Regions from separate parts of the Mus musculus genome. Here regions 1 and 3 are each reported to be linked to region 2. The links are microRNA targets in miRTarBase. Many come from high-throughput screens and were not tested one by one. Region 2 holds a microRNA gene; each other region holds the end of a gene's coding sequence.

Evidence for each region. The annotated mature microRNA mmu-miR-20b-5p reads CAAAGUGCUCAUAGUGCAGGUAG and lies in region 2 at 935-957, opposite strand. An mRNA with a match to its seed (bases 2 to 7 or 8) in the 3' UTR can be bound and repressed. Matches are read on the target gene's strand: a 7mer-m8 pairs with bases 2 to 8, a 7mer-A1 pairs with bases 2 to 7 and ends in A, and an 8mer does both.
Region 1: the mRNA of Ppp1r3b is a reported target of mmu-miR-20b-5p. The part of its 3' UTR that is shown has no 7-base or 8-base seed match.
Region 3: miRTarBase lists Ago4 as a target of mmu-miR-20b-5p. Seed matches in the 3' UTR shown: 7mer-A1 at 1,468-1,474.

What each region holds. Positions count from the first base shown.
Region 1 is chr8:35,384,364-35,387,618 of GRCm38, reverse strand. It overlaps Ppp1r3b (protein phosphatase 1, regulatory subunit 3B), which reads right to left. Exons shown (of 2, transcript NM_001364452.1): 2 at 1-3,255. The coding sequence ends at 2,756. Among named protein-coding and RNA genes, the nearest start is that of Ppp1r3b, 9.3 kb to the right of the region's middle.
Region 2 is chrX:52,741,225-52,744,479 of GRCm38, forward strand. Mir20b (microRNA 20b) reads right to left here and starts at 968; the gene lies at 889-968. Mir363 (microRNA 363) reads right to left here and starts at 543; the gene lies at 469-543. It overlaps Mir92-2 (microRNA 92-2), which reads right to left and starts at 704; the gene lies at 614-704. It overlaps Mir19b-2 (microRNA 19b-2), which reads right to left and starts at 842; the gene lies at 759-842. It also overlaps Mir18b, Mir106a and Kis2.
Region 3 is chr4:126,490,384-126,493,638 of GRCm38, reverse strand. It overlaps Ago4 (argonaute RISC catalytic subunit 4), which reads left to right. Exons shown (of 18, transcript NM_153177.3): 18 at 308-3,255. The coding sequence ends at 416. Among named protein-coding and RNA genes, the nearest start is that of Ago1, 23 kb to the right of the region's middle.

The sequences.
Region 1 (3,255 bases), not on the chromosome of region 2:
TCCCAGAATCAGGAGCCACCAAGCTTACATCTCAGGGATAAAATAACTCCCACCATTGACTCAAGTTGCTTTAGTTTCTGCAGAACTACAGACTTCCATTATGCCTTCCTAGCTTTCTAGAGAAAATATTCTTACAACACTCAAACGGCTTCTTACAAGAAACATGTCTTATGGTCTAGCTTATTTATTGTACCCATTTTGCCAAAGCACCCCAGGGAATTTGGGGAAATAAATATGGAACAAAGAATGGGGTTGCCTTCCCTTCCTGGATCACAATGTCTGGGGATTAGGATCCATCCATCATCCTAGCCAAGAACTGCATGAAGACAGACCTCCAGGTCAAACTTGCCGTGGGATCTTCAAGCAAGGGGCCTGTCGTCTTCTGAGCTGCGTAAATTTGTCTACAGTGGTGAACTCTGAACAATGCATAGAGTTTCTAAATGCAGCTCCCGAGGCTATCTCAGAGTCATGGGACAGACTGGGTCAAAAGAAGGAGGGCTGTATTGGAGGCAGAAAGCAGAAGGAAGACTCTTCTGTCTCTGAGTGACAGCCTTGATAAGGAAGTCAAGCACAGCCCACGGACTGCTTCAAGGGAAGGGTCCTGGTGAGCAGGCAAAGGCACAACATGCCCCTGGAGCTGAGCAGTGGGTGTGCACCCCAGGTGTGCTGGCTGGGGGGCTTTCAAGCAGTGCTCGTGAGCAAGAAAGCTGGGGCAAATCTGGGCAAAAGGGGGTGAGGGTATGTCTGCTTTAGGAGGGACATATAACATGGAATTACCATATTTTATATTTTGACTCGGAATGTCTGAAGATCATCCATACCACTGAACAGATTCCATTCCGTACCTCGCCCCCGCCCCCAGCCATTTTATGATCTTTAGTCTGCATCTATGTAAGAAACAGTGCCCTTGGCTGCCTTCCTTCTTAACACACAATGCATGACCCATAGAGAGCAGTTTTGCTTTCTATCCAATTTCAACCTAGCTGCTCTGGTCAACAAATCCGGAACATTTAAAGTACACCCATCTAGGAGATACATGGCCTGCTTAGATAAAACACAAACTCCTGGCCCCAGCTTCAGCCTCATGGCACAAAGATGATTTCCTCACAGATAATCAGCATGCAATCCCAGATCGCCACCCATCTGGGAGAGGCACAATATACAAAGCACAGATTACAGACTAGTACCAGTTTTAGGAATAAGAAATCATAGAAAATAACATTTAAAAAGTCAAAACATTTGAATCTTCAAAAGTGAAAAAGTTAAGATAAAAAATAAACCACACATGCTAGGATTAAAAACATTTGATGTCTGCCTGATGCTAACTTATAAAGCCAGAGGGCACAGGGCTACGTCCAGTGGCCCCCACCTCCGAAACCATGAGACTCTGCTCCTTTCTGTCTTGTCTCAGGGAAACATCACTTCAGTAAGGAAATGAAACAGGCATCTTTTATCAAACTTCCAAAACAAAACAACACCCCTAATTCTACAAACTCGCATTTAAAAAAATCTCCCCTATAATTCTAATTTGCCCTAGAGAAAAATCACAGGGTTTGGGGGTTCACCCAAGGGTAAGAACTCCAGGAGTCTCACGCTAGCGTATGAAAGCGCATTGCACTCCAATATGGTTAAGAAAACTTCATCTGATACCTCAGAGTTGACAAACATTTAAAATAACATAGAAAAACGTGAGGTTTTTCTCCCCTATCTTTTTATAATACACACCATAAATAAAAACACCCGATCAATGTCCTTGGGGGTTCATAAAGCATCCTGAATATGAATATATATCTAAGCACAGTCTGGAGGACTCGAGGAGATGCCAGTCTTGCTATTTGAAAGCCTCAGACAAGGCACTGAAGTGGAGGCTCCAGGAGACATGAGAGCTATGACTCTCTTCAAACACAAACAGTTCACACACACCGGCCAGGCAAGTGGAAATGCATCTTGTCATTGAGTCCTCTTCTGGTAACTCCGGGTGAAACGGTGCTTCAAAAGCTCCCCCAACATCCAAGAGGAAAAGCTAAAAGTTCAGACTGTCCCACCTTGTCCCAGTGCTGTACCCTGTGACCCCACATGGGAACCAATGACTTTCTAGTAACTAATATGTTGCTCTCTTCTGGAATATAAAGGAGGGGTCAGGAGGAGAGAGGGGGGAGGGAATGCCTATCCCAGACACGAGCTACTTATTTGCTTTGTCTCTCTTGTCCAGATCACTGGATAGACTGTAGCGGGAGGAAGTGTAGTGAAAGAGCTCGCACAGAAAGCGCCCGCCCCCGGCCCTCTTCTGAGGCTGCTGGGTATCAATCAGGCCAGTGTGTCCCAGAACTGAGGTGGCTCCCTTCGGAGTACTCGTGGAATGAAGGAGACGCATGGAAAGCCATGAGCGGGGACAGGACCTCGAGGTCAATGGTAAGGCTGGAGATTGGTTTCTGGGTGACTTTCAGAGTCCAAGTGTGGAAGAGAGGCCAGCTTCCTCTGTCCTTGCCAGCTTGGCTCCTCTCCAGACCCTTCTGGCACCATCCTGCGCATTCCCTTGTGGCCAACCCGGATGCCACAGAGGATCAGCACCGCTCCACTCCTCTGAGCAAGAAACCGGGTGTGATGGAAACACGCTGGACTTGCTGGTTTAAGAAAAAGGTGAACAGGAGCCTGTCTTTTCAAAAACCACGCCTAGTGGCAGTTCAACTTTCCTCTGGCCTTCCGTTCTCTCGCCTCCATCTTGATCTGAGCCACGGACTGTCACCTGCAGTCACTAGTAGTAGGGCCCCAGCTTTTCATATCCCAGATAACTAGGCCACTCTGGAAACAGGCCAAAGGAACACCGAGGGCTCCCAAACTGGTCAAAAGAGATTCCAAAATCTGGTCCATTGTACGGCTCAATCTTTCCCGGAGAGGATCGGAGTTCAGCCCGGGTGATCCTGTAGTTTTTGCCTTTGTTGCTGTCCCAGTACGCCTGGCCGTTACACTCGTAGCACACGGCAAACTCCATTCTTTCGTAAGACTGAATTTTCTCGGGTAAGCTGATGTCAAAGGAGAATGTGTCCCTGTCTGAACCAGCGTAAGTGTCCTTCACATACTGACAAGGGAAATCTGTGAAGCTTTTCCAGGTGTCAAATGTCATCCTGATCTTCACAACCTTCTCGAAGGCCAGGTTCTGGACCTTCACGGTGCCCGCGATGGCCTTATCCTTCAGCACACAGTTTTCTAGGCAGACGTGGTTGGTCTGAAGGCGATTTCTGAAGTCTAAGTAAT
Region 2 (3,255 bases):
TTCTGGTGTCTATGGAGACAGCTACAGTGTACTTGTCATATAATAAATAAATAAATAAATAAATAAATAGAATCTTTTAAAAAAGAAAAAAGAAACCCATTTTTTTTCAGACTTATATATCAGCTTTATTTTGCAAATTTCAGGTTTGTTTACATTCAGTGCAATCAAAATGTCAGGATTTCAAATATATTTAAAAATATGTAGTTTTAAAAAATTAGACTCCAAGCTGGGCGTGGTGGCGCACGCCTTTGATCCCAGCACTTGGGAGGCAGAGGCAGGCAGATTTCTGAGTTCGAGGCCACCCTGAGTGAGTTCCAGGACAGCCAGGGCTATACAGAGAAACTCTGTCTTGAAAAACCAAAAAAAAAAAAAAAAAATCCACTCCAAATGTGTTCAAAGCAATGACTAGCTAAAGGATTTTACAATCTTACTATAGCACTGATAGACGGCTGTCCACATAGGTCCTGCGGTTTACAGATGGATACCGTGCAATTTTCCTCCTATTACACCAACCAAAATTGCATCGTGTTCCACCTGATAACAGCAAAACAGTTCATTTCATAATTACAGTCTAACATAACTTACAATACTCAGAAACTAAAAGACGATTAAAAACCCTCTTTCTTCCTCAGGCCGGGACAAGTGCAATACTTTATATCTAACACAAGTAATGCCACCAATCCCCACCTGTGGATGAATGGGCATGGATGCTGAAGATGTGCATAAAGGTGTCCATTACGATGCAGAAAGGTACACATTCCCACAATCAGTTTTGCATGGATTTGCACAGCCATATATTCACATATACGCTGAACTGCAAATCTGCAAAACTAATCGTAAGTAGCAATGTCCTTGCGCTGTAGTTGCTTCAACAAGACCTTGGTTGATCCAGGAGTACTAGAAGTGCTCACACTGCAGTAGAGTGGTATAAAAACTACCTGCACTATGAGCACTTTGGCACTACTAGGATCCGAGCTTGTTCTTCTACACAACTGTATACTACAGTCTCCGCCATCTGTTTCTCGGCGAAACACTGAAAGAGCCTTTGAAACTTGTGCCGTTCAAATCATTTCTCAAGATATGCTTTTCAAATGCAAGGTAAGAAGTAGCCTGTGCGAGAAGGGGCATTTAGGGCAGTAGATTGTAAGCTGCTTCACTAACAGCACTAGATGCACCTTAACACAAGAGACACATTACAAGGAGCAGCTCAAAAACATCCACAATCTAACTATGCAGAAACCAGGGGACTCAGCGGCCTCTGATTAAATCACCATGGTAATGTAAGAAGTGCTGGCACTGCAGTAGAACTCAAAAAGCTACCTGCACTGTTAGCACTTTGACATGGCCAAGGCATACTCCAGGAGTGTAACCTTGAAGTCTTCCACGAACTCTTCTTTGCCAGATCTGCAGACTCACCTGGATAAACACACACACACACACACAGCAAGTAAGTGAACTGTGAGTTACTATTTCTAAAACAAGTTTGCCTTCCGTTAAGAGTGCAAATGGGGTTGTGTTACTTCAAACATTAATAAGCTCAATTATTTACACAGACTTAAACATGAATAACACTGGCAATCTCAGAATGTCTGACTCTTAAGAGTAAGAGGATTTTGGACTCCCTCTCCGTCTAAGGAAATTTGAGATTCGCATCCCAGAAAATTTGCAGAGCTGTAATATCCACCATGGTTTTCTAAGAGGCAAGAGCCCAGGAAAAGATGTAAGCAAAAAAATAAATAAATAACATTAGGGTGAGTACTGACGTCTTGAGCTCATCCAGAGCTTTGGGGAGCCACTCGGAAGGTCTCTATGTTTGATTACATGAAGCATCCCTGCCCCCAGCCCATTAAGAGAAAATGATAGAAATTTCAGAGCCGCTTTAAGAAACAGTTTTACACTCTTCACATACCGCACAGATGGCCTAGAGATGTCACATTTTCATCTATTTCAAAGGGCTCTACTTCTGTTTAAACATTTATGGACCCATTTTCTCCATTAAACCTAAAGAAGTCAGATTAGCTCTTTGGCTTCATGTCATTATCTTCCACAGGAAAAACCTCTCTCATTTCCAAGTGTGTATCTTACCCAGGAAAATGCTGCAGAGGACAGTCTGAGGGGTCACGAGCTCCCTCCCTCCCATGATGGAATGTTTGTGTTGATGGGGGGACACCAATAAACTTCAGGGACACAAAACTTGAAATGTGTTCAATGAGAAAGGATATTTTAAATGTTGGAACTTTTCGAAGCCACTTAGTGACTAAGATAGTTCTTAAAACATTTTAAATATAAATTAGCAAAACTTTTGAAGTAAATATGAAATCTGCTTCCTATAGTGCAAGTATTGGCTTATTATACTTTTCTTCTTGAACTGGGTTCCTACAACTAGAGATTTTTGCCTCCACTAAAAATATATTACAAAACCTGACTCAACTTCGCAAAACCATACCTCAGCCCTCCAGAGAAAGCTCCTTCTAGCTAATACCTTTCTTTAACACATCTGCTCTCCATCATATATACTAGAAAGTCGCTGTACAACTTCTAAAATTGCAAAGAGGACCCAGTCTTTTACCATTTCGGGATTTTCTCTGGTCTATTCCCGCATCTTCAGCAGCGGCTCCAGTAGAGATCTGTGAACCTCCTGGGAACGCAGGGTGTGCTCCAGCCAGTCATGCCACGCGCTTAGGTCTTCAAGACACCTTAGCGGCCACCAAAATTAAACAGAAAGAAACAAAGCATTATGGGAAACGGAGTTCTCCATTCAAAGCCCCCAAAACGCGCCAAGCTTAAGCCTCTCCCTCCATTCTCGGGTTGGTGGGAGGGAAACCAAGGTAGGTCGGGAGTCCTCCCGCCCCACACCCCACGTGCACCCTGGCATTTGACCACCCACAAGTTCTCCAGAAACCTTCAGAGCAACAAGGGAGAGTCCTTTTCTCACGAGTTGCCTGGCACCCCTCAACTACACTCAGGTACTTTGCTTTTCTCAAGTCTTGCCAGCTCCATCCCCTCCCACCTTAGTTAACTCTCTGGGATCACAGCTGCGCCCGCGGAGGTACGCATCTCCTGGTCCAGTCATCCAGAACAAGCGCGTAGGGGATCTGCCAGTGACCCGCCCTGGCAGGTGGCGCGCGCGACCATCCCGCTGCTGTCCTGCCTGCCAGGATCAGGGAACCGCACGCATCTTCCTAGAGCTCCTGGCCCTCTGCTCTCCTAGCTGGTGGAGGAGGGAGGGCGGCGAGGAGCCACGTGCAGGAAACG
Region 3 (3,255 bases), not on the chromosome of region 2:
CTTGACTTGTAATTGAAGCTTGAAGAACAAGTAGAGACCAAGCAGAGAGAGGGGCACTGAAGTCCTTTCATAGGTGCTCTCAGACACTTGGCTTCTGTGAACATTAATTACTTATTGCAACCACCCATTAAATAAGCTGTACTGTACTTTTCAGTTGAACCAACGTGTCTAAGGAAACAAATTGTTTGAGTAGCCCAGGCTTCAGCCAAGATGTTCTTGAATACAAGACTGTTTGTGCTCTTTGAAATACTGAAGTTTCAAGTTGTCCTCTGCTAATGCCCGGTTTCTTGTTTTGTTTTCATTACAGTGCGGAAGGCAGTCACGTGTCAGGACAGAGCAACGGCCGGGATCCTCAGGCCTTGGCTAAGGCTGTGCAGATCCACCATGATACCCAGCACACTATGTATTTTGCCTGAGAGTCTTGGAAAAGAACTCAACAAATTTGGCATCTCACGCATCCTCAAAATGTTTCCGACGCCTACTGCCTCTCTCAGGTGGTCCCTACCAGCAGCTCAGAATGGTTGCACTGAGTCTACTCTGCAGCCCTGTCTGATACATCAACAAAATTGAGCCAGTTGGGTTTTTTTGTTAAAGAAATAGATACTCATAGATTGTGTTTTCTGATGCACTGGGCAGAATTTTTACCTCAACGTGCAAAGGCTGATCAGCCTTGACTTTCTAAAGGACTTTCCAAGAAGGGTTTCTATGGAATCTTTTGCTAGCTGTGGTATTCACCGCATCTAGTCTTATAAGAGGAGTATTTCCTTTTTTCTGTGTTTATTGAATGGTGTGCATAAGTGGGAGAGAGAAACCAAACGGCCTGTATCATTTCCATGTAACTTTTTAATTGGGTGGGTCCATAGACCTCTTACTTCTGACTTTGCCACTGTCAATGCCTTTAAGGAGCATCAGCTTTTGAAAGTTTTACAGAACTCTGTTACCTTCACTGTTCTACTGATCTCTTCGGGCCTGCACTGTGGGGTACAGGCTGCCCAGCAATTGCACTATATTTGGCTGCAGATTCGAACAGGCAGTTCCCTTACTTGACTGGCTTTTGTGAGTCTGTGACATAAGCAGATGTGATGTGTGTCACAGGGACAGATACACTGCCGTGGTAAAAAGTACCCATGTTTTCCATATTTGGAAAAAGAGAATTAGCTTTTAGTATTTTTCCACATCTTCAAACATGCCCATTTTATGCTGCTGTGTGGTATGCTAGATCTAAACGATCTTTAAACTTCTCTCATAGAAAGTTAACTTTGGCAATAAGCATTTGTAAGGCCCTTGCCCTTTCTCCTGACGTCGTTTTCTAGATGAGATTTCAGTATGATTTTATCAACTATTTCTTACATATCATAACTGGGATATTCTGAAACCAGTTTATAAAGACACAGATTTCAATGTCCTTATAAATAATTGTTTTTAAAACAAAACAAAACAAAACTTATTTTATAGTCAGTGTCCTGTCACTTTAAAAAAAAAAAAAAGAAGCTGGAACCAGGATGCTTTGTGATCGGTCAGGCTTTGCCGATGCATAAGGCACATTGAGCAGTACTGCACTTGAAAAGAAAGTACCAGCCAGTGAAAACCTGGTTTCCCTGGGAATCAGGGGTGCACACACGGCTGCCTACAAGACAGCCTGAAATGTGCTTGGTGGCTCTGCCTTTCTCTTTTTCAACTAAAACTCTGTAGAAGTTGTTGTTGTTGTTGTTGTTTTTCTTTTTCTGTAACAGATTCTAGATTCCCTCACAGGAAGACAGGATTCCGTTTCTTGTCCAAACAAAGGGAATTGATGTAAAGCAAGAACAGTTAGAACATAGGGAAAATGTATTCTGTATTTAGTGTAGATAATACCTTGTAAAGGACAAGTGTTACATAGTCAAGGTAGTTGCACCCACGGTTTCCAGCCCATGTTTTACTCTAACCTGGAAGGTCAAGGAGTAAAAGGTAAGAGGCTCTCTGTAGAGCCACACTCCTCATGGCTGAGGAGGGTGCTGGGGAAGGAAGAGACAGGCACAATATGCTAAAAGCAATTTTGCAGTCTCGGTGTAGAAACCATTGGTGGGAAACACTGGATCAAATGGGAAAGGGTGTTTGCTTGAACTCATTAATTGGTCCAAGGTTCAAATCTGTTAAATGGGCCCTCTCAGAATCCCAGCAATAGAAAGCACTGTTTCCCTTCAGTGGCTTCAGCAAGTGTGTAGATACATTCATGTTTACATTTCTGTGTGCAGTCGCTCAGCAGTGCCACTGGTGTTTGCTGAGCCTGGTCTCCGAGAGAGTTTATAATGTCCGTCTAGTCCTATAGCACATGCGGATGGGTGCAGACATCTTTAATCTCTGCAGACAGTGGGAAAAGCAAGTCCTGTGACTGAAGCACAACACAGGCGTGAAGCGACAGCAGACGTCCGTTCCCTGAGATCTTCCTTTTTTTCTGCAAATACCTCCCTGGGATAATACAAATCCAGACATGTTGATGAATGGCTGACTGCCGCTTTTATTCACACCTGTTCAGGGAAAGCACAGAAAATGCTCTGTAGCACAGACATTCTGGACCCAAGAGGAGGGGGAACAAAGGAAGCCTTTTTAGGAAAAGGAAAACTTGCCTGGAGTCTGTGATGTGAAGAACTCTCGGTGGCTGGCAGCTGACAGAAGGCACCGTACCTGCACAGGAGCGCCTCGGGCTTGCTTGTTGACAATGCACAGAAGAGACTCTAGCCATCTTCCGACAGGATGGAACAGTGAGCGAGCTGTGTGCCCGGAAGCCCCATCCACGGTCCTGCAACTGAGTTGTAGGTTTGCCCATGAGCGATATGCCTGAAACACCACTGCCGGTCCTAGTATGCTGGGGTGAATCCGTGTGGAGCTGGAGGAAAAGCCAGGAGACCAACTTTTGTAGAAAAAACGGTATCAATAAGTGTGTGAAGCCGTTGTTCTGGGCAAGTGGAAAGAAATATGGAAGAGTTAGGATTACTTGGGGGAGGGGAACTTGCTGAGGGGTGAACAGTCCAGAGGTGATCACTTGAGAATCAGAACTGCAGTAATACCACCGTAAGCAAATCTGAATGCATAGTTTTAACTTAACTGGGGTTGACAATTCAAATAGGTACCTCCCCCCACCCCCCCAAACAAAAACCTGACTGAGTTGTTATGCATGTGTCAATCACTGGGAGGTGTGCATTCTCTAGTAGTGTTAGGCTGTTTGGTTCTTTTAAATGCAGCCTATTTAGGTACTGTCATGTAGTGTGGAAGATT